Linked DNA regions of Caenorhabditis elegans. The protein of the gene in region 3 purifies or fractionates together with the protein of the main gene of each other region. This does not show direct contact. Each region holds a gene or a part of one and is shown on either strand. Other genes may lie near its edges.

Region 1 (7,523 bases), on a different chromosome or scaffold from region 3:
ATAGTATGCTCAACATAACCAGGTCTATGCTTTGCTGGATCAATTTCCCAAAGTTCTTTGAGTCCAATTCCATAAGTCATTGCATGTGTTCTCAAATCAAATTTATCGAGAACTTGCTTGCTCAAATGTCCTCTACATCCTTCAGCGAAAATTGTGCATTTCGCGTGGAATTCCATACCACGAGCAAATCCATCTTTCGGTGCTCCATCCTTTCCAATTCCAACGTCACTTGTGGCAATTCCCTTCACACTTCCATCTTCATTGTAGAGCACTTCAGATGCAGCGATTTCTGGCCAAACTTCGACTCCAGCTGCTTCAGCCTGCTCGCCGAGCCATTGAACGACCTTTCCAAGACGAACAATATAGTTTCCGTGATTTGCAAGTGGAACTCCAGGTAGCACTGGAACTGGAATTCGACCAGATTCAGTGAGAATAGCGATAGATTCAGAGGTAACTTGTTGGTAAACTGGAGCTCCCAGCTCTTTCCAATTTGGAATAAGTTCATCAAGAGCTCGAGTTTCAATTACAGCTCCTGAGAGAGTGTGCCCTCCAATAACAGATGCCTTTTCGACAACACAGACACGAAGTTCTGAAATTAAAAAAAATATGTTTACTCTAAAATGTATTTGTTTAGATTTTACCTTTCTGAGCTTTTTCAGCCAATTGTCTCAATCGAATGGCTGCTGATAAACCAGATGGACCTCCTCCAACAATGACAACATCATAAACATCACTTTCTCGTGCCAAATCAACATCCTTCCACCGTGGATCAGTGGATCGATCCTTTACAGTATAGTGAGTAGTCGTCCATTGTCCGTTGACGACGTTGCGAAGTTGTGATGAGACGCGGAATAATGTGACTCCACTTATCCGCATTCTGAAGTCACAGAAATTGAGAAATGAGAAAGAAATCGATAATTGAAGAAATAATTGTTGCATTTTAATTTTAAAAAATTACGTGAATTTTCAATGAAAAATGTATTTGCTTTTTTCGCAAAATATATGCATTCTGGTTACTGTTAAATACAAAAAGGTGTGCGTCTTTAAAGAATACTATAATTTCAAATTTTCTGTGGAATTTTACTCTATTTTTCATAGATTTTCGAAAATAATAATAATAATTAATAATTAATAAATAAGCTTATTTACAGAAGACTCAAATATATCCGTTGATATAAATACTTAAATTTTAGTAATTCTGGAAAAAAAACAATGATAAACCGGTAGAATTTATGTAGCAACCTATTTATGTTTGAAACTACAGTACTCATTAAAGACGCACGCCTTTTCTCATTTAGCAAAATTTTGTCGCGTCGAGACCGGTGACTGTATCTTTGGGCGCATAAAATTGAAAAAAGAAACAACTAAAAATATATTTAGACACGATGGGAAAAAACAAATCGATTGACCAACTGCAGACAAAACAAACAAGTCAACAACCAGCCAAGCCAGCCACAATAAATGGGTGATTTACTATCAAAGATACATTTTTCGAATTATTTTTGGGGTCACAAAATTGTAGTTCTAAATATTTTAGCTAAAATTTATAACTTTCTTCTACGTATTCCTCAAATGAAAACAAAATACATAATTGTTGTGATTTTCGGAAAAGAAAAGCAAAAAATCAGGGTAAAGTGTATCTTTGCGTACGTGTAGAGGAAAGGAGAGATAAGAGGAGTAGACAAAAGGGCAAAGTACAACGAACATGTGTCTCCCACGAGGGACAAAAAGAGGAGAGACTACAAATCTGAACGTCTACAGTGCAAAGGTAGCTTAGTGACGTCACAGGAAAACAAAGTTTGTAGGGGGTTCCTGGGAAGTTTGAAAAGTTTGTTGAATTTTAACATTATCAATTGTAAATTGTGCTTTTAAAATGTGAATAAGAAAACTGGAAAAAATATTATCCGAGTTTTTGAAAAAAAAGTTTTCTCTTCAACTAAATATTAAACGTTATTTGTTTGCCTCTTCAACTTGTCTACGTATTTAAAATCAAAACATTAATGGTCACAGATCATAAATCACAATTCTATCATTAGAAGAAAGTAATATATAAAAGGATGTTCATCTTCACCCGTATATTAAACCAATTTTTGAGTTTAAACAAATGCATAGTTATATTGATTACATGAAAAACAAACTGATTAGACTTACATAAACCGGATGAAAACGATTCGATCATTAAGAGATCAAATTGAATGGAACACAAACAAAACAAAGGAAATATGACAGAAATTCTAATTACAATAAAAAACTTTAAAAGATGATAAAATGCCCATTATACATATTTGACTTTAATAAATCACTCAGATGGCTCCTCTGCCTCTTCAACACCTTCTTGTGCGGTTGCTTTTCGATTCCACCAGTTTGAGAATTTTGCTTTGACTCGACTACCGGTTTCTCCTGAAAACACGATCGAGTTAATCACTTTAGTATTAAAAATATTTTTTTCGTTTTGGCAAAATGTCAGTTTTGTAAATTTTGAACATTTTGAATAATTCAAAGCAATGAAAGCTATGCCCTCAATTTTTTACTGCTACTTCATTTCTCGAAATTTTTTAGATGCTATATTAATTTCCAAACCCGAAAAAAATTACCAATGGTATTTCCTAAATTCTTTCCGGCAGTATTTACAGTTCCAATAACTTTTGAAGCTCCTTCAACTCCATTTACGGCATGTTCAAAACGAAGATACACGTCATAGACTCCCATTTGTTCCGAGAACATGTGCCTGAAATATTCAGATTGAAAAATGTATTCATGTTCTGAAATTCCTCACCCTGGCGCAACAGATGTTAAATCTTCATGTTTGTTTGCAACCCAAATTTTGTGATTTTTAGTTCTCCGCCATTCGTTTACAAAAGCGATTCCAAAATGAGGTATCGCTGCTTGTAGATCGGAACGTGACGTGGCAACGAGGCCAAGAAGATAGTTTTTCATTTGTAAACGAATCCATTCATCTGATCCATCGAATTCAGCATTTGAGGATTTAACCTGTTCTTCGACTTTTTTGAGAATAAAATCAGCGAATCGAAGATCTGCAGTAGTTAGAGAAACTACTCGTTCCAATGCTGTGTCGTTGACAAATTCAATGTGATTATGGACAAGAGAACCGTCGTCTTCGATCTGAAATTACTCAAGTTTAGTTAGAAACCTGAAAATTGTTAATTTAAAATACAAACCTTCACAATAACATCAAATAAATCCTTTTTCATCGCAAATAAGGCATTCGTAGCTCCAAATATACAACTCTGAGTCTTCGGGACTAAATCCATTGATTGAATTGATAGATATGGATCAAATGATGATCCTTGTGTGAATAAGCTTATAGGAAATCCACACGAATCCTTTTCTTTCAATGGATCATCATGTGAAAGCTGAACACCAACCTCCTCTTCTATCACTATTTCTTCGCTTTTTCCTTCAGTTTTTGAATTTACATTTTTGAAATGACAACTCGTATTGACCCCGATTGTTGCGTAGAACAGACCTTCTTCCAAAAGCTCTGAAATTCAAAATTAAACGATTTTAAAATGTCTGTATATTCTTACTTGGAAACATTGAAACAATAGCCAGCATAGTTTCTCCTAATCGTAATCCAGTTGGTGCAATGAATAAAACTTTCCGCTCTAATAGGAATAATTTAAAAAGCAGTAGAGCTCGGTGACGGAATCGTATAAAAAGCTCTTGAATTGATATTTCTGAAACTGATATCGCTAATTAAAATGTGAACATTTGAAACTATTTTCATGTTTTATTTTAGTAAATTGATTCAATAACGTACCATGATGAGCTAGATTTGAAAAGTATTCTCCAGTAAGATTTTCGTCGAATATATCGCAAAGATTCGTATACATTTGAGCAAGAACATCAACTTTCGAAAAATCTTTTTGTTCAAAATATGCCTGAGTTATTACTTCCAATTTTGCTTTTAATGGACCAAAAAGTGGTATTCTTGAAAGAACGCATACAGCTTTTTGAACACTGGTCCTAGTCACATCTTCCGATTTATTTATTAATTCCTGCAAAGTCAAACAGTTTTTATCTGAAGAGTCATATAAAATCTCACTTTTGCATCGATTTGTCTGTAACACGAGATGCCAAATATCGATTTTCCAGGTTCTTCTCTAGATGGAAGCAAAAAGAATATTGTATCTTTTTGACAATTATGTACACCATCCGGCAACGCCAGTGATGGAAGAAGATGCCATTCATCGGGTAATCCCGATTCGCCCGTGCCATCGAGTTTCGGGTGCGAGTATTCTACCTACAAGATTTATTTTATTGATTTTTTACAAATTGAGTTGATGAACTTGAATTTAAATCTTCACTCCATATAATACAAAACTTAATAATTAAATGTATATGAAAAATACTGCAAAAATAGTAAAAAGTACCAAAAACGTTCTGCTTTTTGTGAAATGTTCGATTGACTGTAACATTTATTTCAAATTAACTGCAAAATATACGCGATTTTGTAGTTTATATTGCCATTTTATTACTTTCCTGCACATTTATGACCTTAATCGTTACGTTTTCGAGTTTATTCTTTTATGTATCATATTTTCCTGATTTTTCTGATAGTTTGCCATTTTTGTTACCTCACATCCTCGCTTGTGATGGAAACTAACGACGACCACATTCAGAATTGGATGCATCTTTCTCTGAACTGTAAGCTCTAATGTTTTCCCGAATTTTACCATCTTCAGATAAATTCTTATGGTTGCTATACCGGAAAACGGAATATACTCGTAAAAAAAGATTAATGTAGCAAAATTTATGGATTTTAATTGTTTTCAAAATGAAAAATTGAGATTTGCACGCTGATAATGTTTTCCGATAGGGATGGAAACGATTTTAGCGTTAACCAGTCATTAAAGTAGGTTTCCAACTCGCACCTCATGTACACCACAAAAATGAATAATTCAGGAAAAAATGGGCGATCAACGAGAAATTTACAGAAGAATTAAAGATATTAAAGGCATTTCGTAGTGGAACAAGTGAGGAGATTTTCAGGTTTCAATGAAAGGAAAGAACAAGGGACTTTTCAAAAGTCAACAGGAAAGGTACAGAATTGGATACTCACGAGATCCAGATTATCATAAATGAGCACGTTATTACGGCTCGTTATTGAGATTTGTTTCAGGTTTGATTCGCTGTGAGAATGAGAAAAGGCGGTTGAAAGAGACGAAGTAATGAGAGGATTGGGCACGAGTGCCGTGGAAAATATGAGAAAATGAAGGGAATTACAGTAGTATACTCGTGAAGGTAAATGAACATTTGAAATGGATTGAGCAGATCGAAGAGATGTTGTGGAGCAACATATTATGTGTTCACAAGCCATGGATTCTTGGCAATCGTCTCTGCTGAACGATCTCCATAATCGTAGAGAAGCTCTTCTCCTTGTGCGATTTGACGCCTGGCGACGAGAATCAGGTGATGCGACCCATCGATTTCCACCACCTGGAATGTTTAGTTTTGGAATTGTTATTTACATTTTTTTAATTTATCAAAGACTTTCTTAATAAATTTCAAATTTTGAAATGCTCACTTTCGTTTTGAGATTCGGCCTTAACACGGAATGATTGATGAGTCGTCCTTTCCATGGAGATTCTTTTGTCGCATCGATACACCATTTTTTATTGTTGTGCTCAAAAAAGTACATGTAGGATCCGATTTCCTCATCATTCGAATATTGTTCTTCTATCACTTTTGCTTCCGAGTACTCCATCATAACACCTAGAATACTTTTTAAAAACAATATTACAACAATTATCTGTGTTATCTACATACCTCTGTATTCGACAACAAAGTCTCCTTTTTCAAAGTTAACTTTCGTTCGAATTCCTCGCCCCTTCACAACATCTTTGTACACTTCAAGAAGTCGTTCATTAGTCCCCTTGAGTACGGTATCGCGAAGAGCATGTTTAGCTTCATCGCTAATTTGCTTGCTCGTCTTCCGATTACTTCGCCGCACTTGGAAGAATTCTGTGATTTTATGGTTTGAGACATCTTTCACCGACACTCCTTTTCTGAAAGAAAAACTATTTGGAAATTGAAGTTTTCAGCTTGGACAATTTCTGTGAATATGTTGTGAATTCAATTAGAAATATTGAAGTTTTTAAACGTTCTATTACAATCCCTCTTGTCACTAATCAATCATACCTGCTCCTTGTGTTTTTCGACGGTGTCATTCTTCCTGAAGATGAAGAGTGTGAAGCCAAAGACGATGGATTTTCGGAGTTCTCAATATCACTAGATGGTGACGCTGCTGCGGCACGATCCTTTCGCATTCTACTCGTTGCCAGCTTCTTCGCGGCAACTTTCATCCTTCGAGTGACACCGCTGAAAAAATAATAAATTTTGTAGGGTGAGGAGAATAGTAAAAATAGAGAAATTTATAAAGAAGCAAAAGAGGTGTCATAGAAATAATAGAAATATTCGCCCACAATTTATTTTTTTTGTTTTGAAATGGTTGGGTAAAAATATTATAATGTGTTGTTTCAAAAACCCAGATATTCAATATGATTTCATCGGTCCTGAATACTGTAATTGAAAATGGAAAAGCCATCTTGGATGTACCTGAAAAAGTAGTTGGGAAGAGGGTAACAGAGGAAATTGAAGCGGGCAGAGAGATGCGTAAAGCAGATTGAATGGGTTTTCGGAGGAATATTTTTTTTAGAAAGTGAAGGTTTCTATTGTGAAAAGGGTGGGCTTTCACCGATTCCGTTGAATTTCCAAATATCAAAAGACCGAGTAGAACATCATCATTAAGATATTTATCCACATTTCGTGAATAACCTCATTAGAAATCAAATTCAGTGGTTTTTGACGAGAGCTGAGCACAAAGAACAATGTCGTGCACACGCGACTAAATTCAAATGGTGTGCAGTCATATGGTTTTGGCGGGAAGTGCCGTGGAGCGTTATTGCACTCACGGTAGATGTCGGTGGTTGGTGTAAAAAATGGTGGATTGAAATTATGGAATTGAACTTTAAAATGTATATTTCCGTAATAATAGATACACTTATTGGGCTCGTAAAATTAAACAGAAAAGATACTCAAAGATTAAAATTTAGATAAATTTTGACGCCATGCGCATGACTAATGTTTCTATTTATATTTTAAATATTATACCAACTGGAATTTTAAATTTAGATGTCCTATTGATCTATTAATTTTGACTGAATTGAAAAAAAACAACTATGAGAAACAGAGCAACAAATCGATGGCAACATCGTGCACAAGAGTGTCATCGCATAAAAAATGCAGTTTGTCATTCTTCAATGCGACTACATGAGAGCCCGACGAAGAAGATATGCTGAAAAAAAGAACATCGAATCGGTGTCGAGAATCTGAATGACATAAGAAGATGCAGCCGCTGGTTTATTGATGCTGGCAGCTAATCGATTATGAATGGGTAATTAGAAAACGATCGGTATATTCTATTCCATTCCCTTCCTATTTATGCTGCGGTCGATAAAACGCTAAATCGATAAAAAGTTTAGTCGTTGTAAGATTGAGCA
Region 2 (6,369 bases), on a different chromosome or scaffold from region 3:
TTAATTTTACTAGTCGGAGGAAGTCGAGAGGTAGGCTCGAAAGACACCGGCTTGTTGAGTAATAAAAGTTTCAAAGTAACTATACATTTCATTAAAACTTCTCGAATCACTCAAGCAATTTTTCGAATTACGCTCTTCAGCAAACTACAGAAAAAATTTAATGATGATCTATGTACTCACAATGCTTCTATGCACATTCTGCGCAGCACGACATCAATCGATTTTTGAGGTAATTTGAGCAATGTGAAGGGAATAGGCACATAGTCATCCATGGTCACAAATAAAGAATGAGCAGATGGGAGGATTGAGTGGTAATGTTCAGTGACCTCTTATTTCTCTAACTCTCTACTTACTTGTTATTATACATCTGCTGCAGAGACAAAGATTTCCTTCGTCCGTAACCACTCCCATGTTCCCAGGACCCATTAACATATTCTAACGTCTTCTTATTCTGACAAAAAGAATCTTCTCAAACACTTCACTCTCACGGACGAACGGACAATCATCTTATGGAAATATTTCATCAAAAGAGAATTGATAAGTTATCATTTGATACTGCACAATTCGAAAGTACGATTTGTGATGAATTCGAAGGATTGGAGTTTGAGGATTTGCAGCTAGGCACAGTGTTTGGCTTTAACAGTTTGCTATATGAACATGTGTTGAAACAGTTTTCCGGTAAAACTGATTCAATTTGTACAAGCAGCAAAAACCCGTTCTCAATAGAAGCATCTAAACAAATGCAAATGGTTTTAACACGTAACATGGACATAGTTGTACTACACCAATCATTGAAATATGATCTTAATGATGTACTAAATAGTGACAAATGCTTCCGCATTCGTCGCTTATCTAAGAATCAAAGATGTCAATATATTTTTGAAACACTGGATTCACGGAGTCGACAGGAAACTGGAATCTGCGAATTTCGATTTTACTGCATTCAGGTGAGACGAAGATCTTCTCGAATCACTCTTTGAAGGTATAGAATATCTAGCAGATAGCTATCTCTAGTGCGCTTTCGATGCTGAGGAGACTGTGGATAGAGAATTTTTTGTTCTTTTGCCGTTGGGATTGACGGGATGTGACGAGTATCCTGTCAAAGGTGGTTATGATGTGAGAAGGAATGATGGGATGACGGCTATGTACTATTTATCATTGTAGATCGTGCAGATATATTAATCAAAATGTTTTTCTGGTTTTAAAATCACGTTAATTTTTAATAATCAAGACCACGCATTGGATCACTTTCTAATTTTTTCTGCACTCTCTGAATTATTTCTCTTGTATAATTTTCGAATAATGTTGCCGCCAATAATAACACGTTTTATTTTTGATAAGAACAACTTTTATGGACAAATAAAAAACATTGTGAGATTTATGAGAAGGAATTCCGGGATTTTTAGGAGTTACATACAATAAATACTGTCAATTAATTGGATTATGGCCTCATTTCTTTTTGTGGCCATTTCCCTTTTTTGGAGCAGTTGATGCAGTGAGCCCTGCAACTTCTCGGAAGGCAACCACGTATTTCTGAGCAACCGGCATTGGAGGGCAGAATCCTGATGCATAGCTGTCGTCTTCGAACGCTACTTGATATGGTTCTCGAAAATCTGCTGGCGGGGAGTGAACTATTCCTGGAAAATAATTATTTTATTTTTGAAACTTTTGTGAAAATTGGTACCTTTGTAGAAGCAAGTGGTTTGTGGATACAACGCCAACACAATCGCATTTTTCTCGAAAAGTGCATGCTTGTCTGATGCAGGATTCGCTTTCCATTTTGGGAGGGGTAACAAATGGCTTCTCGCGAAAACTGTCAACTTCTTCTTGTCATCATCAACGTCTCGACACTCATATCGCGAGTTAGAGTGACATGTGACAATATCAGCAAGAATCCAGTTTCCGTCTTTACTGAATGCCGCCACTGAATCTCCGTCGCCTAGTTTCGAGCCATCCTGTGGTGCAATAGCTCCAACATATTCTCCAGGAAATTGTGTGTCATGGCTGGTCCATAATGGAAGAAGGTCGCCGCGAACCTTGATCAGTTCCATTAAATCTCTCCGACTGATGTCTCCGGCCATTTGGGAGCGATAATCCATTTCAGCAACACGTTTTACTTCGTCCAAAAGATTTCTGTAATATTTATTTTAATTTTGAGAGATTAAAGATGAAAACGAACCTAATGAATGATTGTTGTGATTCCACAGATCGATGAGTGCTGGTGACAAAATGTGAAATTCCATCGAAAACCATGGAAACTTCTCAGTAAACCCGTTCAGAATATACCCAGATTTCAACCGAATTTGTGCACAGCATGCAGAAATCGCCGAATTTGTACAGATTGCAAATTTGAACAGATTTTCGAGGCAATTGCCCCGAAAATTTTGTTGAAACTATTCAAAACTTTACTTCAAATTTTAAAAATTTATCTAAAACTTGGTCTTCATTGATTTCTTTTGTTAAGATTTTAATTGATATTTGCAAGAAAACTTTAAAATCGTGGCGAGACCCAGCCGTACAACCACGTGCCCCTTTAAACAGACTACTGTATTTATATTGAATTTTTAATGATTGGATTTCGCAAAAATTAGTTATAAAAATTGTTTAAAAAAACCCACTTTACCCTTTCCATAGGGGTTCGGCTCATTATCTCGGAATTCTTGAAGTTTTTGCAGATTCTCGTTGATAGCGTCTTGCTTCGATTTCACTGTTGGCAGCTGGAAAATTAATTTCAAAACTAGGAATAAATAAATAAATAAAACTCACCTTTTTGATAACCTCTTCGGCGGTTTTCTTCTTCATTTCCTCGGTGATTTGCACATCGTTCTTCTTCCGAGGCATTTTGAAATTATGCTATTTTCCTGAACAAGGAAATGAAGAGGTGCAATAGAGCAGATATATATTTAAACGGGAAGAATCGAGAGAGACCTGATTACGTGATGAGACGGGGAGAGTGCAGACATTACAAGTCGTATGCTGTGAATGAGGCAATGAAAAGGCCAGGTTGTTGCGGTGGGAAAATAACGTATATGGAGTAATTTACCAGTGAAAAGCCGGGAATAGTTGAAATTCATATTCTAATCAATCAATCAGAGCAGTAATGCATTGTAAAATTATACCTCAAACAAATTCATCTTTGAAAAAAAATCAAAATAAATGCGGGCAATATACATGTCGAATATAAACAAAATAGTCGTGGGTTGTCACAATTTGGGCATTGGAGAATCTATATACATAAAACAACTAAAACAAAAAAGGAAAATAAAATAGGGGAAGTTAGTTGGAATATTCAACAGGAACCACTCGGTTATTTAAATACATATACAATAATACAGACTTATGCACATTACTACTAATTATAGGACATATATGGAGTTACTCGTCCTCTTCATCCAGTTCGAATGTTTCGAGAAACGAGATCAGGTCGTCGACTGGCGCAATTCCGTTTTCCAGCGAGATCATATCCTTTTCGACCTCGAATTCGTGGATTTCGACTGGCTCTTCGACAATCAGCACTCGCCGGTTCATGCACTTCACCGTTTGCTCCAATTCGATGTACTGAAAATGTTATAAATTGGAAATCGATAGAATTATTGCTATACAACTCACTCTATTTCTTCGGAAAGGATCCCTGGTGCTCGAGTTGTTCTTGTACACGATCCTCGTTTCCACGTGGCGCTTTCCTCGAATTGAACACGTGATTGATGCAGTCGAAGTCATCAGCCGGCCTTGTGAATCGAGTCCTGGCTCGAGATTTCCGTATTCCCGGCAGTGTGTGGTTCTCAGGAGACGAGTGATAGTCTGAAACATGAAAAGTTATTTGTGTGTAATATAAAACCGATTTACTTACTCTCTTCGTCTGTGATCGGATCAGGGTTGCAACCACAAAGCTATCTGTCATTTGGAACCTTTCGTTTTCCTTCTCTAGTTGTTCGAGCAATGCAAATAACGTTTGGAACGACATTTCATTGGTTGTCTGGATAGCAAATCGAGCCACATTTTGTCCCGTTTCCTTCGGTTCGGTCAGGAGAGAAGTCTGAAATGAGATTTATGCTTTATCAAAAATATGGCCAAGAAACTAACCAGAATCAAACTAGAGATATCCTCGACCGACAGCTTCCGGCACTGAGCGGCAAAATAATGTGGTCGTTGGTTGGGATGAAGAAACACGTGCTCGACAAGCGCTTTCTCCGATTCTCTGGTCGTGTGGAACCATCTTTGCGAGAAATAGTCGTAGCGCTTAAGACGAAGATTTTCAATCGGCACAGTCTGAATGTGCCGGAGCACTTTGACAGCTTCATCGCGGATGATTGTCTTGCTCGGTTTCTTGTCGACGAGCTTTGGAGTCTCATCGATACGATGAACGGAACAGTAGTTCTCATCTTCGACGAGCTCCACATCTTCTCCGTGCCCTTCGATAATTACATCATGATTGATGTTGGGTTGTGGTGGGAGGGAAGAGCAACCGGCTCGAGCGGTTTCCAAGCGATCTTCTTCGGCGTAGTTGGCGACGTATCTGGTCGCCGTCAAATCGCGAAGGACGGTGCGAGATGGAGCTGACATTCTGAAAAACGTTGATTTAAAATTTTATAAAAAATTTGAAGCAAAAATGAAAGAGAAAACTAAAAAAAAAGTAAATGTACTGAAGTGATTGGCAGATTAATAATAATTTATCGATAAAACCATTTTTTAAAAAACTTCATCAGTTTTTGTGAGTGTCAGCAAAGAAGAAGAAGATTCACGATCAAAAATTCGTTGAGCCTATATGAAATAGTTGCGCTGGTTTTTCGACGGGGGGATCAAATACGTCAAATAGGTCAAATAGACGAAGCATTCATAAAAAGTACAATATTCATTGAAAAATAGTTTTGGATTTGTTTTTTTGTTTTCTTCATTTTTTTGTTGAAAAAATAATGGTAATTAAAAGTTTTTAATAATTATTTAAATCAAGATTGAAATATCAGAAAACGACAAAAATTCGTTCGAGAACTTTCTCAAGACTACCGTACTCTTTAAAGACGCATGACGATTTTCACATGGGTCTCACCACGACTTGTCTGAAATTTGAATGTTCGTTCAAAAACTTTTTTTTTTGCGATTTTCAAAACCAAAGCTTAACAAACAATTTTCCTCAAGTTTTCAACGCTTTTTGCTCGTTTTTTTCGCTCAAATAAATTATTTCAGAAGGTTTTGCAATGGGGGTTATCATCCCCGCTGTACTTCTCGCTTCGGCGACGATAATCGCTTGGCTTCTCTACAAACACTTGAGAATGCGTCAAGCTTTGAAGGTTTGATTTCAAAATTCATTTGAAGATAATTTAAATAAATTTTCAGCATCTCAATCAACCACGTTCATATCCAATCGTCGGTCACGGACTGGTCACCAAGCCAGATCCAGAGGGATTCATGAACCAAGTAATTGGAATGGGATATTTATATCCAGATCCACGTATGTGTCTTTTGTGGATTGGTCCGTTCCCTTGCCTGATGCTCTACTCCGCCGATCTCGTGGAACCAATTTTCTCGTCGACGAAACATCTGAACAAAGGTTTCGCATACGTTTTGCTTGAGCCATGGCTTGGAATCAGTATTTTGACAAGCCAGAAGGAACAATGGCGTCCAAAGCGAAAACTCTTGACACCCACCTTCCATTATGATATTCTGAAGGATTTTTTGCCGATTTTCAACGAGCAATCAAAGATTTTGGTTCAGAAAATGTGTTCCCTCGGAGCAGAGTGAGAATTTCAATTTATAACGCTTTCAAATATTCATTTTCAGGGAAGAAGTTGATGTTCTCTCCGTTATAACCTTGTGCACTCTTGATATCATTTGTGAAACTTCCATGGGCAAAGCTATCGGTGCTCAACTCGCGGAGGTTCGAGAAATTCTTCAATCGCAACATTTCTAAACGTTTTTTTTTCAGAATAACGAGTATGTATGGGCGGTGCACACAATCAACAAGCTGATCTCAAAGCGAACAAATAATCCGTTAATGTGGAATTCGTTTATTTACAATTTGTACGATAGTTTTATCATTAAAAAGGTCAATTCAATTTTATTTTTCAGAACAGAAGACGGACGAACGCATGAAAAATGTCTTCGTATTCTACATGATTTCACGAAGAAAGTAATTGTCGAGAGAAAAGAAGCGCTACAGGAGAATGATTATAAGATGGAAGGTCGTCTCGCATTTTTAGATCTTCTTCTCGAAATGGTGAAAAGTGGACAAATGGACGAAACAGATGTTCAGGCAGAAGTTGACACATTCATGTTTGAAGGCCACGATACAACATCTACAGGACTAATGTGGGCAATACATCTTCTGGGAAATCATCCTGAAGTTCAGAGAAAAGTTCAAGCGGAATTGGA
Region 3 (6,176 bases):
GCTTCTTTTCTTGAACCTGCCGAGATAGCTCAGCAATGTGTAGACGATCTTCCATTACTGTCAGCGATGTTTGATAAGCTGATTTCAGCTTCTCCTGGAGTTTCCCACTTTTTGCCAACTCGGCGCGTCTCTCATCTAATGCATAGATTCCTTTGGCTAAATAATAAAATAGTGGAAAACGATGAACCATCGGGAATCTTACCTTCGGATACCATTTTCGTCAGCAACTTTGCCAACATTTTTCTTCCTTCCGTGTTGATCATGTTTCGCTCCACAAGTTGATTTGATTGGCGAAGAAACTGAAAGAAGAGGATTACAACTGATTGTCTGTAGATTAAAAATACCTCATGGCATCGCAGAACTTTTGGATTTTTCTCATTTGGACGTACTTGTAGCGTCGGAAACGACATTATTTCGCCTTGAAATAAAAAATTTTGATGAAAAATGAGGTTACCGTACCGAACAAAGAAACAGAAAAGTTCAGTTTTCTCCTAAAAGCAACAAACTTTTGAATGGAGATTTTTTTCGTGCCTGCACATCAAAGGTTACTGTACCTGCAATTGCTCGTAAACTTAAATGTAAAATACGCAAATTGCCATCACGTCAAAATCCGCCTCATATACACTAAACACAGTGAGTAGCGGAGACCGCAAAATGTCGGGACACCCTATCGCACTACTCCCTCCACCCGCAGGCTCATAAACTTACCTGGCTGGGGGTTATTTCGCGATCACAAAGGCGGAATCCCCATGGTTAGGCCTACCCATTGCACTTTTGGTGCGGGCTGACCTGTGTGGCAGTCTCGAGTTGAGATTCGCCAACAGCTTAATTTTTGCGTATCGGGGCTGCGTGCGCGCGGCCCTGAAAAGTGGGTCTATATGTAACACCTAGCCGATGTTCTTTTACGATATTTGGGAGATTTGAAAGTTCACTGAAGGATGGAAAAGACGCTAATATAAATTTATCAAAATTAAACGTCTCGAACTGGATGTGTCGTTTGCATAGCCTTTTCATTTGATCAAAACATCTTTATTTCTATTTTGTTCACAAAATGAGTTCATCGCCAGAACAAATGGCCGAGAATGTGAATTACCGTAGGTTTACTCATTGATTCAGCTTTTGAAGCAACTTTTACAGTATGTCTTATGGTGACTGCCACTTTAACTAGTGCAACGATGGTGCTTGGATGTACTACCGGGCATCGTGAGATGTTCCGACGAAAAGGTTCAAAGTCAAAGAAATCAATGAAATCGAAGAAATCTAAAAAATCTAAGAGAGAAAAGAAGGGTGATAATGAAGATGAAAAGGAAAATTATAAGGAAGATGGAAATGATCACAATAATGGATCTGACAGGAAAGAAGGTTCTAAAAAGAAAAAATCAAGACAGAAGAGTATGAAAAGCTCACGGAGCAAACGGAAGAAGAGACACAGTTCTGGAAGTAAACGTGGCAGTTCTAGGGACAAAAGAGATAGCTCTCGGAGCAAGAAAAATAATGTATCGGCTCATAAAATGGAGAAATCTCCAAGTAGACGTGATTTTGGAAGAGGAGGTGATAGAGATAGAGATAGAGATGGAGAATCCAGAAGAAGTAGTTATAGGGATGAAAAGAGAAGACGTGAAAATTCACATAAGTCAGCCAGATCAATGCCTGTAGAAAAAAGCAACAGCTACCGAAATTACAAGAAATACGATGACAAGGTGGAGGATCCACCACATGAGAAACGAAATTCTGATGACGTTCGTTCAGTTTATGTGGATACTGGAAAATCAACATATTCCACTGCTGTAAAGCCATCAAATGATAATCCAAAATCATATTATTCTCTTCCACCAACATCTCCTTCAAAGGAAAAACCCACAAAAAAGATTTCACGAAATTATTTGGCTGATCCATTGTCTCCGGGGGATAAGAAATCAGCAAAAATCTCAACGAAAAAGTTGATTTCTACAATAAAACCACCAAAAACGCTTTCTAAAAAATCAGCAAAATCTACGAGAAATCCATTGAAATCGCCTTCCAAAAGGTCTAATAGTGTGAGACCAGAAAAGAAAAATAAAATCATTTCGAAGAAGGCGTCCAAGAAAAATGTTGAATCGAGAAAATCAAAGAGAAAGTGAACATGTGGTTAGTTTTTCTTTTATTGTATTTTGGAAAAAGAGTTATATTTAATATCGTAAGTAGTCTCGTGAAATCACTTTAAGGACACAGGATATATGATTTTTTAAAGTGGGTCCCACCACGATCTCAGTCTCAGCCAAATTTCACGGATTCACGAAATCACGATTGCTAGAAATGGTTATATCTCGTAATTTTGTGAAAAAGAAGTACCTTCGTCTCTAGGTGTTTGGGGGAATTTTTGATTCATAAAATTTCAGTATTTGTACAGTTTAGTTGACGATGGTGTAGAGCTACTGTCAAATAATCGAATATCAGAAAAATACATTACAAAAAATTTCCAGATTTTTGTAAATTTCTATTTAGTCTAAGTTTTGTTGGTGAACTGCCAAATTAAAAAAGGTGATATTTTCCAGAAATTGAAATCAATTTTGCATGTCTTACTAGTTAATCTCTAAAATGTTTGAATGCAATTATTTCGAACATGGTTAGAATATGAAATTCGTAGAAAAAATTGATCGACTTCCAAAATTATGAGATCATTTTTGTCAACAAATAAAAAAGTTCAAAAGTGTTACTTTTCTAAGATTTTCCCCTCTTAGCACATCTTCTATAATATTTTCAGATTTCTGGATCAATCGTCTCCTGCTGTACAAGTGAACTGATATTCTTCCGATTATTTTAAAAGTTGAAATGAATATTCCAACTATTACATGTTTTGAACTTTGATATGCAACACAGAATTTTTTGAATAAATAATAATTTATTGAAATAACACAGAATCCACGAGAAATTAATAGCCTGGTGGAGTTCTTGGAGTTGGGCAATGGAAGCAATCTCCATTTGGTCCCTTTGATCCAATTGGTCCTTGTCCTCCAGTTTCTCCCTTTCTTCCAGCTCTTCCTTTTCTTCCTTGATCTCCAGTTGGTCCTTGAACTCCTGGATGAACTGATCCTGGAACTCCCTTTGGTCCACGTTCTCCCTTGCGTCCTTGTGGTCCTGGGGCTCCTCCGGCTCCTGGTGGTCCATTGACCTGAAATATTTCCTGTGCTGCAGTTAAAGCTCATCAACACTATAAAACTTACATTAATAACTCTTCCATCATCTCCCTTCTTTCCTGGTGGTCCTTGTGGTCCTGGTTCTCCTTGAGTTCCAGCTGGTCCAGACATACCTGGCTCTCCACGTCTTCCATCAACACCGGAAAGTCCTGGTGATCCACGTGGTCCTTGTGGTCCCTTGGCTCCTGGAGCACCTCCAAGTCCTTGTGCACCTGGTGGGCAGATCATGCATGGTTCAGATTGAAGTCCATCAGATGGTCCAACACCTCCATCCTTTCCATTCTTAGCATCATTTCCAGCTGATCCATCATTTCCGTCCTTTCCATCATCTCCTGGTGGTCCTGGTGGTCCAGCCTTTCCTTGTTGGCATGTACAACATTGTGGTTCTGGTTCAGCATTAACAACTGGTCCATATCCATTGTTGGTTCCTTGTGCACCATATCCACTATCAGCTGGTCCACTACCGTATCCACCGGCTCCACCTCCGACTCCAGAATCTTGAACCCATGATCCGAATTGCCAAGCACGCTTTGCACGATATCCACTCTTTCCAGCAGTTGAATACATGTTAACAAGCATGTCACGGGAACGCATCTATAATTATAAAAATAAATGATTTTATAAAAAATAAAATAATTGACTAACCATACAGAAACCAGTTTCCTGAGAGATTTCACTTTGAATACTGATAACCATATTGTAGATCATTGGAAGAGCAACCAATGAGCTCACAACAGCACATGTTGAGACAATAATTGCTGCGATGGCAATACGACGAGCGTGGCTGAAATTATCATTTTCATGTTTTAAAATAAAATTTCTTCGAGTGAAAAAGGTCCTGTTTTCCCGTGACTGTATTTATGCGGATTTCGTGAATTTTAATATTTTTGAATCTACAGTAATCACGGATACGGTAGCTGAAAAGAAATGCTCGTGGGTTCACCTACGGGTTCAAAATCAGAAAGAAGCAGGGAATAAATTACTTTTTTCATGCTCTTAGTAATCCTGATTTTTCTAGAAATCCTATAATAAATGTAATATTTTCGAATTTACAATAGGAAAAAATGTTTTAAAAAATATTCATATAAATTTTTTTTTAATTTAAAATTTTGAATTTTTTGAAAATTCACTAAAATTAACAATAAAAAGGGGGTATCGATAATTATTTCATTATAAACTCACCAATGTTGATCCTTTCCGTCCATTTTGATTGAAGAAAAAGGAATCTTACTCTTTCCCGTGGACCTCCATGTCCTTTTATGTCCCCAGCGGAATGGGCGGAGCCTATTCTACAGTATCCCTTTCCGAAAGGTCCTTGCCCTCTTATCCGTCTCATCAGGTGATCCGGTTTCCTGATAAGATAAGATATTATTATTATTCATATGCCAATGCATTAATAATAACGCTGTGCCTTCTTCAGATCTAGGTCATCTTCCCCCGCCCGAATCCTAAAAACCGGGCGGCCCTTTGTTGATGTGAATCAGTTCATGTGGAAAACCCTTCATTTTTGACACCAAATCTTAAAAGACATGCAAGCGCACAGCGCGCAGTACAAAAATTCGAATTAAATACATAACTCGATACACAGAGAAATAATTAAGATTTTCGAGGCGTAATAGACATAACGGGGATAAAAAAAGATAAATGGGGAATACTTAAAAGTTAGGAGTTATAATATTAAATAAGTAAAACAGTTAAAATATTTATAAAATTTTAATAATCTAGCATCAAAGCGGGCCTTGTCTTGGAGCGGCAGTGGTTGGTCCAAAACCTTGAATAGCTTGTTGAGCGAAATACATCATACGGGCATCCAGATAAATACTTGCATCGTTGTTACGAACACCATGACGCTCATTTGGGAAGATCTGAAAGTTTTTTTTTAAATTATAATGTGATTTCAAATCGAAATACTATTTTTAAATGAAAAATATACTATTGAAAAAGGAAACACTTCAAATTATCCCTCAGCTAAAACTTTCGTATAATTGACACTTCGAAATTAAAATTTTCGACACTTACCACCAACTCATGCCATTTTCCTTTTTTAATACACTCATCAACAAGATGTGTTAAATGTGCAAAATGAACATTCTCATCCATCAATCCATGAACCAACATTAAACGATTTGGTCTGAAATAATTGATATATTCAATTAAACTTTAACGATTTTGAAACATACTCGTCGGGCAGTTTTTCAACTAATCCAGTTATCGAGCTCGCACCATAAACATGTTCTTCGAGTGGATATCCCATATATCGTTCAGTGTAGGCAGTATCATAGAGACGCCAATCTGAGACAGCTCCACCGGCAATAGCAGCACGATAAATCTAAATTATAAAAGGGATTTTAAACATGATTATTTTTTGAATAAAATAAATTACATTAGGATGTTTAGCAATCATTTGAAGAGCCATATATCCACCATAACTCCATCCATGAACAACCACACGACTCATATCCATAAAACCACCAGTTCGTTCAGCAAGCATCTGGAGTCCTTCCACTTGATCTTCCACTTCAACAGTTCCCTGTAAATTCACTATATTTACAAAATAATACAAAAATCTTCCTACCATTTTCTTGTGTATATGACGCTCAAACTCTATTCCACGATGCGCCGAACCGCGATTATCAATGAAAACGACGACATATCCAAGGCGGCAGAATCGTATGTACTGAATCCAACTGAAAAGTATATTTAAATATTTTTATGAAGAGTCAAAATGAGGACTTACGAAAAATCGTTATGAACTATTTGTATACCAGGTCCTCCATAAACGTAATGAAATACTGGATATTTTTTGTATGGATCAAAGTTGCTTGGACGGAGAATCATCGCATAGTGCATTAGACCTGTTTTTCTGAAATAATCACATAAATGAATGAAGTCATTTATAATTTGTCTGAATGCTCAATTGAATTTAGGCAAATTAAATTTCAATAACATTGTTCTAACTATAGTTGTGGGCGGCAATTTGTTTTTGGCAATTCCATAAAA
Region 4 (10,244 bases), 7.9 Mb from region 3:
TGAAGAACTCGGCCTCAAATGTTGTAGGGACATCTGTATCTAGGCCATCTTCTCCTGTAAATAAGCATTTTATTCAAATAACATGACAAGAATCAGAAAATTGAGTAAATTTGGATGGTGTTGTCAGTTTACAACTTTTTTATAGCGTTAGTAGTTTTGGAGTTACGGGTCATTTCTCTTTAGGCCGGGGTTGTCAGTAAATTTATTAAATTGATGTTACCGTAGAAATATTCTTCTTGAAATTTTCTACATTTTTGCAATTCACAATATTTTAATTGCGTTCCTCTGCGCAAAGTTACAGGCGTTCTAAGTTTGCCAGGATGAGAGAGCGCGGAGGAGGGGGAGAGTGCAGATACTGCCTGCGCTCTCCTCCTCCCCCACACTCTCTCACCGCCAAAACTTCAAAGAGGTTTATCTCGGCGAGGAGGTAAGATAGAAAATTACAGTAAGAGGCAAAAAAGTCCAGAATTTTATTTTTTACACAATGGACTTACCCAAATATCGATGATGCTCCACATGATACTTCTTAAAAGACACTGATATCGGCACAGCAATCGGCAAATTTGCCCACATTCCGAAAAATCGATTTTTCAATGGGTACTTATTACCAAAAGCCGTATTATGTGAAATATCATGGATGGCAAGTGTCATTGCGTGATTGATTATTCCACCGCAAAAGTAGGCTTCAAGTATTATTAATATCCAATCAGCATCTTGTAATAACCAACACATAAAAATTTGAAATATTACCAAACTAGACACCACGTATTTTAGAGATGGATCAACGCCGAATAGCTAAAATTTTCAGTTTCAGAAAATGCTCATACGTTTTAAAATATAAACTCACCTTTTTAACTTCTGGGTACTTTTTCACAATTTCCTCTCGTCTACTCATATGTGGCTGCTCTGTTAACGTCCAAATAAAATCATCTCGACTCACTGATTGCCCCATTTTAAGAGCAGTTTTGAGATCTGAAAAGTAGAAATTTTAAATAGAGAGCGCGGTGAGGGGGAGAGTGCAGACACTGCCTGCGCTCTCCCCCACCCCCACGCTCTCTCGCTAAAGAAACTTTGAAGAGATGTATCCCGGCAGGTAGGAAAGATAGAAAAACACTGTAAAAGGAAAAATTGTGTAGAATTGGATTTTCTACAAGAGGAGTGAATTGAATTCTGAAAATTTTGAAACAAATTTTGTGAAATGATTTTTTTGGGGGTTTGATTTTGTTAAATTTTCAAAAACTAATAATAACTAAATTTTGACAAAAAAAACCATTTAAATTCAAAATTCCAGTAATAAAAATTAAAAAAAACCGTGTAAATCACCTCTACAAATTCCTGCACAAAAAGAAAATCAATGGGCGGTTATTTTTCTTTCGGAACACATTAAAATGGGCAGTTTTTGTGTGATAAGATCACGTCTTAAAAATGATAAGAACACGAATATGATGAATCAGGAAAGGAGAGAGCAGGAGAGCAGCAGAGAAACAGACTATAAGGCACACGTAGTGATGTATTTGTTCTTGAGAGCAAAGAGTGCGCAGGGACTATAGAGACATTCCAATCCAGGTACAATATGATCTTTGGATAGACTTGAAGAGGAATTTGGAATTGAGTTACATTGAGAAGTGGTGTAACTTTTTGAAAATTTTGAAAAAAAAAACATTTAATTAAAAAAAAAAAAATTTCCAAAACTTTACAATCTTTTAGAAAATCTAATTCTACACAATTTTGCTTTTACAGTATGCTTCTACCTATCTTACTTGCAGAGATACACCGCTTCAAAGTTTTGAAGGCGAGAGAGTGTGGAAGAGGGAGAGAGCGCAGTGTCTGCGCACTCCCCTCCCCCACACTTTCTCACCCCGTCGAATTTGAAACGCGTGTAACTCTGTGGAAAAAAGAGGTAGAGAAACAATGATAACTGCAAAAATGTAGAGAATTTTGAGGAGAATATTTTGTTGGCTGAGAAAATTTTGATATCTTCATTTTTCAGGAAGATATAGGGGGCTTAAGAAATATTTAGTTAAAAATTCGTAAAACCACGCACAAACAAGTAAAAAATAGCGCGAGTGCTTTTTAAAGCAAAACATCTAGCAAAGGTTGCACATTTTCAAACTAAAAATTTATATTTTTCAATAAATTCAAAGGCACATATGCTCTCTGAGACAAAAAGTGATAAATTGGAAACCTTATAGGATGAAAAGCCAGAGGGGGAAATTGGTTGGTTAGCAACCACCTGAATCCAGTTTCCGTTGCTCTTGGAGCACACACATACGGAAAGGTGGACTTATTGCGTAGAGAATGCAACTATACATGCAAATAGAAAGGAAGGAACTGTGTGTGTGTGTGTTTTGAGAGCGAGACGGGAGAGGGAAGCGATGCTCTTTTTTTCCAATGATTCACTAGGTATTGGTCATTTTCGTGGTAAAACAAACAGTTTCAGACAGTAGAGTATAGGGAAATTGATAATGAAAACTAGACGGAAACATTATGAAATATCATTTGGAAAACTAAAAATTGAAAATTCAAATTCAAACATTCATTTTTCATAAATTTCATAAATGCTAAAACTCAAAACGTTATCCAGTAGAAAATCCAATTCTACACATTCTTGTCTTTTACACTACCTCTCTATCTTTCCTACCCGCCGAGTTACACCACGCTGAAGTTTTGGCGGGTGAGAGAGTGTGGGGGAGGGGGAGAGCGCAGGCAGTGTCTGCACTCTCCCCCTCCCTCGCGCTCTCTCACCCGCCAATCTTAAAACGCCTGTCACTTTGAGCAGAGGAGTGCAATTAAAATATTGTAAATTGCAAAAATGTACAGAATTTCAAGGCGTATATTTTGTTAGTTAAGTAAAATTTGGTAGAATAAGCTTCCGGTTAGATATGGCACTTTTGGCTCTTACCCAATAAATGCAGAATATCTTTGTAGAGCAAAACACTGCTCAAATACACTTTTTAGTTTGAATTTCAGGAAAAAAAAACAAGAAACTAAAAAAAACTCCGAACAATTTGTTTTTATTGCAATATATAGAGAATCAAATTCTGAACATTTTTCCTTTTTACAATATTTTTGTATCTTTCCTCTCTGCAAAGATACACCTCTTCTAAGTTTCGGTGTTGAGAGCGTGGAGGGAGAGGAGAGTGCAGGCAGTATATCTCTCTGCACTCTCGCCCTCCCCCACACTCTCTCACCCCAAAAAACTTCAAACGCTCACAACTTCACGCAGAGAAATGCTATCAAAAAGTGTTTAACTAACAAAATGTAGAGAATTTCACGGGGTATATTTAATTTTTAATTAAATTTTCGATACGATTTATTTAAAAAATATGTTTTTAAAAATAATTTATCACGTAAAAACTTTTTAAATCCATTGAAAAATCAATCTGCTTCATTTCTCCAAACCAACCATGGTTTTGTTGTTCAATTTTCTGAAACTTATGCTTTTTTCGACAGTGCATGGAATTGTTATCGAGTTTGGTAAGGAGACCTCTTCGCTGGAGCGCGTTTGCAGCCCCTTTCTGCAAAGTCTCAAATCTACTGTTTTTTTTTCAGAAAGACGAGCGGAACTCTACTCCCTGTACTCCTCAATTCCATTATCAAAAGACACGTGGAGATTTGAGAATTACCTGAACGTTCACAAGTACAACAATATACTATTCGACGGAAAAATCTTGGAATTCGACTCACTGGGATGGTTAAATGGGAATCAGACGATTTATCACAAATTACCATATTTTATATCGAATCCGGCGTTTCGAATTCCTCATATATCAAAGGAATTGTGTGATTCTAACGGGTTCTTTAATATTGGATTTCGCATTTTTCAGGTTTAATTTTTTTTTCTATTTATTCGATAATTTTTATATAATATTGTTGAATTTTAGCTTTTCGGGCCTAAAAATCTATAAAAACGGCAAAAGTTCGGTGGAGCGCGTTTGCACACTCGCGAATCGTGCCAAGACCAGTTTTAATCAATTTTTAAGATCATAGACAAATGCAGCTGTTTTTCTGCTAGATTTTATATGTTTCTAGTGAGCAAATTCATTTCATGAGCAAAAGAGAAAAAAAAATGATTAAAATAAATTTGGTGAAGCGCACTTTTACACGTGGTGTCAGGCGTTTTCCATAAAGTTTTGTAGATTTTAGTGTTAAAGTTCAAAATTTAGACATGTTATAGAGGCGTAGCGTAAATTTGAATGATCTACAATAAAATGCGGAAATTTTTTGCCCAGTAAAATGTGTCGCCAGCACACTTACAAAATTTGTTGAGAAATCTGCGACTCAATTCCCGCATTTTTTGAAGATCACACCGAAATGGGACACTCTGACCACGTGTTTTATTATCTTTTGCGGGCTTATTCACATGAAAAAAACCGTTTTTTTTCTATAAAATTTTGTAGATTTGAGTGTAAAAGTTCAAAATTTAGACCTGTTATAGGGGCGGAGCGTAAATTTTCAATTGTTTTTCCCGCCCCTTTTTTTTTGAGATCGCCTTCCCCCGATATTTAAATTCTCCAGAAAACGCTGCCCCTGCATCAAAATCAACGTTATTTTGCAGAAAACTCGCGAAGCGGGCCTCCCGTACCAACCGCAATGTGCCACGTGTCATCCGATAATTGAAGGTCTCCATCAAATGTACTACGTATTCCCGGAACGTGATTTCACTCAGATTTTCACGAAATTGACGATCGGCTCTCGAAAAATCAATAATTTATTGCACTATTGTAGTCGGGAGGATTGTGAACAGGAGCCACGTGTCTCGAATTTTCAGGATTACTTGAGAATTAATAGTGAGTGTATTATTTAACTTGGCTGAAAATTAGACGAACTAGCTGAAATTACCCTCAAAGTATCAGAAATTTATTTCTGAATTCAATGAGTCTAGTTAAGCATAGCATACATATCACAAGCCTTCATTATCTCTCAAGGGTACTCCTAAGGTGCTTAGTAGGTACAGTGCACCCAACAGCTACTTTTTTATAGAAAACTAGTATTGGAATTGGAATCAGCATACCAAAAAACCTATGGATCTATAATTTTATCATGATATCTCAAAAGTTGAGTGCAAAAGAGCAAAAAGTTGAAAAATCGACCGCCCAACTGCTATGGGACCCCCCCCCTGCGATTTTCGACAATTTCGCCGAAAATTCTCATTTTTTCAAGAAGCATAAAATTTTTCAGTTTCAAAAATACATTTAATGTAGTAATTTGGTGGTGTAATTTTTGTTTTTCATATCATCGAAATAACTGGAAACCTGCAAAAGCTTGATTTTCAACTTTTTATGACCTTTAAGCCCGACATGAAGCTACTGAGCGGGCTATTTTTTTAAGTTGTAAATGGCTTTTAGCAAGTTTTTTGGTGCCACTTGGTGTTTAAGCTCGTATCTGAGCAGCCGATGGAGCTTTCTTTACAAAATTTTACAGGCTATTTTGCTTAAAAATCCACAAATCATGCACCATAAACAATAGCTTCATCATACTTAAAATAATGTAGTACCATTAAAAACCCTAAGCTTAGTACTTTTGAAGCTTGTATAGTTTATCTAGAACTAGCTTATATCTGTAAATCATCCCGAAATTGAGCCAAATTAACTGAAAATTATTGTGAGCACATTTTTGATTCCAGTCCCTGTGACGCCGTTTTCCTTTTTATATCTTTTGCCAAACTACACCTTCCACAGACCTGCATTTTGGAAAGGTGACAAGATGGAGTGGAGAGCATGGAGCCACTGAAACCGACAGAGAAGCTATAGGGCTCCCCAATGGAGAGCTGGCGGTTGGTTTCCAGGACTTTACTCTCTGAAAAACTCAAAAATTTACAGATTCATTCTCGAAAAATTGAAGGATTTACTACAATGTGTGGAATTGAGTTGAATGGTAAAATTGTGAGCAGCTATAACTTTGTGAATGAGGATATTATTGGGGACGGAGAGCAGAATGGTAAGCTTTATTGACTTTATCGTATAGAAATTCAAATTCTGATTCTTTCTTCGTTTTCCATGATTTCTCTATCTCTACTCCCCGCCGAGATATACCCCGCTTTGAAGTTTTATTAGCGAGAGAGCGCGGAGGAGGGGGAGAGTGCAGACACTGCCAGCGCTCTCCTTCTCCTCTACACTCTCGCATTGGGAAAACTTTGAAAGCTTGTAACTTTGCGCAGAGGAATGCTATCAAAGAGTTGTCAACTGCCGAAATGTATAGAATTTTAATGAGCATATTTTGTTAGTTGGCAACTTTTTCGTGTGATCATTTTTTAAGGAAAAAACTCAGAAATTCCAAAATCCATATAACGTTCTTTATGGATCCCTAGTTAACAACCCTTTCATTTTAATTTATCAGGAAGATATCAAAATTCTGGCAATTAGTTGACAGATGACAAAATATAGAGAATTCCATTGAAAATACAGTTTCAGATAAAATCTTCACCTACGAAAACTACGAGTCTCTGGAAATTTCAATAAACTCTGTGAACGACACTAAGAACAATATTCAATTGTTCATCTCCTGGGATGATTGGGGTTGCTGTTCGGCGTGCTGCTGTCCCACCTCAATCTGTGGACATGATTATGAGACTGCTAGTGATTGGTCAGTTTTCACCTCTTATTTTTAGTACATATTTAAAATTTTCAATGAAAATCAATATTCCGCTCGCACCCGAGTTGGGCATTTGTCGATTAGGAAGTGGAAAATGGAAAAGGAAGCGCAGGTAAGATGGAAGTTATTTGAAGTGGCTGTAGCTTTGTAATAGTACAAGCTACCAAATAGTTATCAACTGACAAGTTGTAGGAAATTAATTTCTCTACAGATTACCAACTTTTTGATAGCTAGGTAACTTTGCGGAGATACAGGAGTTCCTCCAAGATAGTTCGAAAGCTTTCTAGCTCCGTTCAGATGTAAGATCTCAAAGTATTGTTAGCTAGCAAAATGTAGCAAATTAGATTCTTTATAGAATTAACTACTTTTAGTTAACTACTTTTTGGCACCTACAAAATTCTCCGAGTTATAGGAGTTTTGAGATAGCGCTTCACTTCCCCCAGAAGACTAGCCCAAAACCTGTCTAATCCCGTTCAGATACTTGATATCAAAAAGTTGTTATCTATGATAGCAACTTGTAGAAAATTAAATTCTCTACAAAGTGTTCGTTTTACAATTCCCATCACCTCTCACCATTTCAATTTCCAGCCCAACCAACCCAGCGAGTCACTGAACCAACTTCACAGACTGCTCTCAATCCCTCCGTATGCTCATCAGGGAATTCCATTGTTCTCGTCATTGTTGAAAAGAATTGTGCTTGAGGATATTTTAAGAGATATCCGAAGTGATTTGGTGCCAAAGTTCATTGTAGCTAACAAGGCTGCTGGGTAAGTTGAAAGGGAATTTTTAGGTTTTGAGGGGAGGTGGTTAAAAGCTTCTTTAAAACCCCCATATCTTTGCGCAAAAATGAGATACGAAGAAAGTATCAATTAATCAACTTAACTACTTTAAATTTGCTTGAAATTTCTAGTTGACAAGTTTTCTGTAGCTCTTACGGATTCGGAGCTACAGAAATCATAAAAACAGGTGTATTTTTGCGTGGGTGGGAGGCAGAATATTTGTTTTAATTAATAAAATAAACTACATAAAATTTTCTACAAATTGTTAGTTGACAACTTTTATGTAGCTCCTATTACCACCGAGATAAAGCCCGCTGAAATTTTTCTCAAAAATGCTAAAAAACTTTTTTTTTTCCAAAGTTTCAAAATCTTTTTCGCCCATCTTGTAGAGCATGAAATTCTGAGCATTTTTCAATTTTGAGATACACCGCTTTAAAGTTTCTGCGGTGTCTGCGCTCTCCCCTCGCCACACACTCTCTCACTTACCTTGCAAACTTAAAACGCTTATAACTCTGCGGAAAGCAAAGCTAATGAAATTTTGTAAATGGACAAAATATAGGAAATCGAATTCTCTACATTTTGGCAATTAACAGTTTTTTTGATACGACTGCTGTTTCCAGGCACAAATTCACGTCTGGAATGTTCATCGAATTAGAGTCCTGCAAGTCGAATATTCAAAAGACGAATTGCTACGAGTGGGCCAAGTGCCACAATATTTCGATGGTAAGTTCAGTGTAGACAGGCAGGCATGTAGGCATACCTACGTTTAGGAAGACGTCCACGTGGAATCCGAGGAGCAAGTTTCCGATTCGTGTCAGCAAGTGCAATTTATCGATGTGCTCGTTGGAATGGATAATATGAAAGTGACGTGGGTTTTTGCTTCCTTAGTTCAGTAGAGCGCAATTGCAAAATGGGAGACATTGATAAGGACTCGATCATGTTTAAATTTGATTAGGAAATTATTGTCAATCGGATGCAATTGTGCTCTATCGCAAAATTTTCTGGAACAATCGATATTAACAATATCGATTTTTTATTATCGATTCCACAAAAATGCCTACTTGTTCGATAGAGCGCTTTTACATCATCAGGAGCAAAATTATCGATTTTTCAGCGTCGGAGCCCACCAACATCTCCGTATCCGAATGGATTCAGAAGTTCACGATATGCGAACCACGTCCGCCAAATGGAGAATTGATCTTCGAAAACCCAAAAAATACGATAAGAACCGCCCGTGTCTGCTGCAGGGAACCGTGCAACGTGGCGGCGAGCTACTCATTCTTGACTTTTCCACGTGGCACATGAAAATTGATTTGATTTTGGCGAAGGAACGGAAGAAGGTTCGAATCACTTTTCATAATTTAAAGTGAGTTTGGAAATTTTTTGGGAATTTTTCAGATTTTCTTTTTCAGATTTTCAATTTTCAAATGTTTCCAATTTTCCCTGAAACTTTTTATAACATTTAACAATTTCGATTTTTTTCAATTTTCAGAATTTTTCGAAAATTGCTACTAGTTGGGAAAATTCTGGGAAATTAATGTTTTTTTTGAAAATAATGGAATTTTATCGATTTTCCAGAATTTCCTGGAGTTTGATTTATTGCCAAATAATTTTTGGAAAAGTCTGAATAGTTAAAAAAAAAGTTGAAAAACGTCCGAAAAAACGTCGGAAAAATTTCAAATTTTTTTAAGGTTTAAAAATTCAAAAAAATGCGATTTTTAAAAAAAATTTTTGATTTTAGAATTTTCGGGATATTTCAGAAATATCGATTTTACAGAATTTTTTGAGGCTTTTCATGGAATTTGGAATTTTGGGGAATATATATTTGATAACAAATTTCGAACTTTCAGAGTTGACGAGAAGGTTTCTGCAATACAAAATACTGTATTCTATTGGGCGCTGGCAATTGCTGGTAAGAGTTTTTGAAGAAAATTAAAATTGAAATAGTGAGAATTTACAACAAAAAATTCCAATAATTTAATACTTCTGAAAACTTATCGCGTCTAATGAAAGTAAAATGCTGAATTTCAAAAAAAAAGAATCAGCTCAAAAATAATAAAACATTTTCAGCATTCTTCCTGCTTCTCGTCACTGCCGTCATTTTAATGCACAGAGAGAAGACACGGCGTTTGGAGAAAACTCTTAAATCAGTTAATTCACACTAGTACATTGTCGAGAGAACTCGGATTTTATAAATAAATGATGAATTTATGGTGTTTCAAAATTTTTGATTTTTACTATAAATGACTCATTTTTGGCATTTTTCAATAGTTTTTGACGGGTTAAACCTAGATTTTCTGAATTCAGCGTGTATGAATTACCCGTTTTCAACAAATTTAGACAACTTTTTATTTTTGCCAAAATTTTTTTCAGCCATCTAATGACTGTCCTTTTTTTTATTTTGGGCAAAAAAATAATTGTCTTGAAAATGTTTAAAACTACTATATTCTGAAAAAGGGCAATTTTTTAGTGATCCTAAATCAATTTTGAGTCCTCTAACTACAAAATTGCCCGTTTTAGTGAAGTTTCAAAATTGTGAATTTTTGCCATAAATTGGCCATTTTTGCCACTTTTTAATAGTTTTTGACGGACTAAACCTAGATTTTCTGAATTTTGCATGTATGAATTACCCGTTTTCAACAAATTTAGACAACTTTTTATTTTTGCCCAAATTTTCTAATGACTGTCCTTTTTTTTTATTTTGGGCAAAAAAATAATTTTCCTGAAAATGTTCAAAACTACTATATTCTGAAAAAGGTCAATTTTTAGCCTGCAGTAATCATACAAAACAACTAAAGTAAGCCCACAGTACCCTTACAGTACCTTAACATCATCCCCACCAACTCCCAACAAAATACCTCTACTAAAGCT

Evidence for each region.
Region 1: the proteins of dpy-14 (region 3) and T26A5.6 fractionate together in Caenorhabditis elegans (co-fractionation; one large-scale study listed by BioGRID). This does not show direct contact.
Region 2: the proteins of dpy-14 (region 3) and Y17G9B.8 fractionate together in Caenorhabditis elegans (co-fractionation; one large-scale study listed by BioGRID). This does not show direct contact.
Region 4: the proteins of dpy-14 (region 3) and Y54E5A.2 fractionate together in Caenorhabditis elegans (co-fractionation; one large-scale study listed by BioGRID). This does not show direct contact.

The regions. Positions count from the first base shown.
Region 1 is NC_003281.10:6,446,031-6,453,553, forward strand, and holds T26A5.6 (UDENN domain-containing protein), read right to left. Parts: upstream 4,662-7,523; 5' UTR 4,656-4,661; coding exon 4,599-4,655; intron 4,265-4,598; coding exon 4,067-4,264; intron 4,020-4,066; coding exon 3,782-4,019; intron 3,705-3,781; coding exon 3,549-3,704; intron 3,503-3,548; coding exon 3,180-3,502; intron 3,124-3,179; coding exon 2,777-3,123; intron 2,729-2,776; coding exon 2,595-2,728; intron 2,401-2,594; coding exon 2,300-2,400; 3' UTR 1,982-2,299; downstream 1-1,981. Other genes in the region: let-721 (Electron transfer flavoprotein-ubiquinone oxidoreductase, mitochondrial), read right to left, coding at 1-589, 642-876; Histone-lysine N-methyltransferase set-1, read right to left, coding at 5,323-5,460, 5,549-5,736, 5,791-6,029, 6,163-6,326.
Region 2 is NC_003282.8:4,755,865-4,762,233, forward strand, and holds Y17G9B.8 (SGF29 C-terminal domain-containing protein), read right to left. Parts: upstream 2,977-6,369; 5' UTR 2,767-2,976; intron 2,718-2,766; 5' UTR 2,254-2,717; coding exon 2,180-2,253; intron 2,134-2,179; coding exon 1,685-2,133; intron 1,638-1,684; coding exon 1,450-1,637; 3' UTR 1,313-1,449; downstream 1-1,312. Other genes in the region: fbxb-77 (F-box associated domain-containing protein), read right to left, coding at 181-272; Y17G9B.11 (PID domain-containing protein), read left to right, coding at 741-947, 998-1,078; memi-1 (MEiosis-to-MItosis transition associated), read right to left, coding at 3,376-3,558, 3,610-3,801, 3,851-4,036, 4,084-4,563; cyp-31A3 (CYtochrome P450 family), read left to right, coding at 5,196-5,288, 5,335-5,735, 5,779-5,875, 5,924-6,018, 6,067-6,369.
Region 3 is NC_003279.8:6,841,828-6,848,003, reverse strand, and holds dpy-14 (Nematode cuticle collagen N-terminal domain-containing protein), read right to left. Parts: upstream 4,416-6,176; 5' UTR 4,382-4,415; coding exon 4,359-4,381; intron 3,961-4,358; coding exon 3,822-3,960; intron 3,771-3,821; coding exon 3,204-3,770; intron 3,152-3,203; coding exon 2,912-3,151; 3' UTR 2,862-2,911; downstream 1-2,861. Other genes in the region: syp-4 (Synaptonemal complex protein 4), read right to left, coding at 1-156, 203-299, 345-410; H27M09.5 (uncharacterized protein), read left to right, coding at 1,052-1,094, 1,138-2,120; dpf-3 (Dipeptidyl Peptidase Four (IV) family), read right to left, coding at 4,904-5,041, 5,196-5,307, 5,357-5,505, 5,560-5,706, 5,752-5,863, 5,914-6,039.
Region 4 is NC_003279.8:14,690,763-14,701,006, forward strand, and holds Y54E5A.2 (Recep_L_domain domain-containing protein), read left to right. Parts: upstream 1-3,391; 5' UTR 3,392-3,407; coding exon 3,408-3,477; intron 3,478-3,552; coding exon 3,553-3,827; intron 3,828-4,558; coding exon 4,559-4,790; intron 4,791-5,681; coding exon 5,682-5,776; intron 5,777-5,822; coding exon 5,823-5,940; intron 5,941-6,413; coding exon 6,414-6,585; intron 6,586-6,678; coding exon 6,679-6,706; intron 6,707-7,182; coding exon 7,183-7,361; intron 7,362-7,993; coding exon 7,994-8,096; intron 8,097-8,143; coding exon 8,144-8,241; intron 8,242-8,487; coding exon 8,488-8,739; intron 8,740-9,223; coding exon 9,224-9,285; intron 9,286-9,443; coding exon 9,444-9,538; 3' UTR 9,539-9,630; downstream 9,631-10,244. Other genes in the region: ttm-5 (Putative sphingolipid delta(4)-desaturase/C4-monooxygenase), read right to left, coding at 1-54, 495-795, 848-952.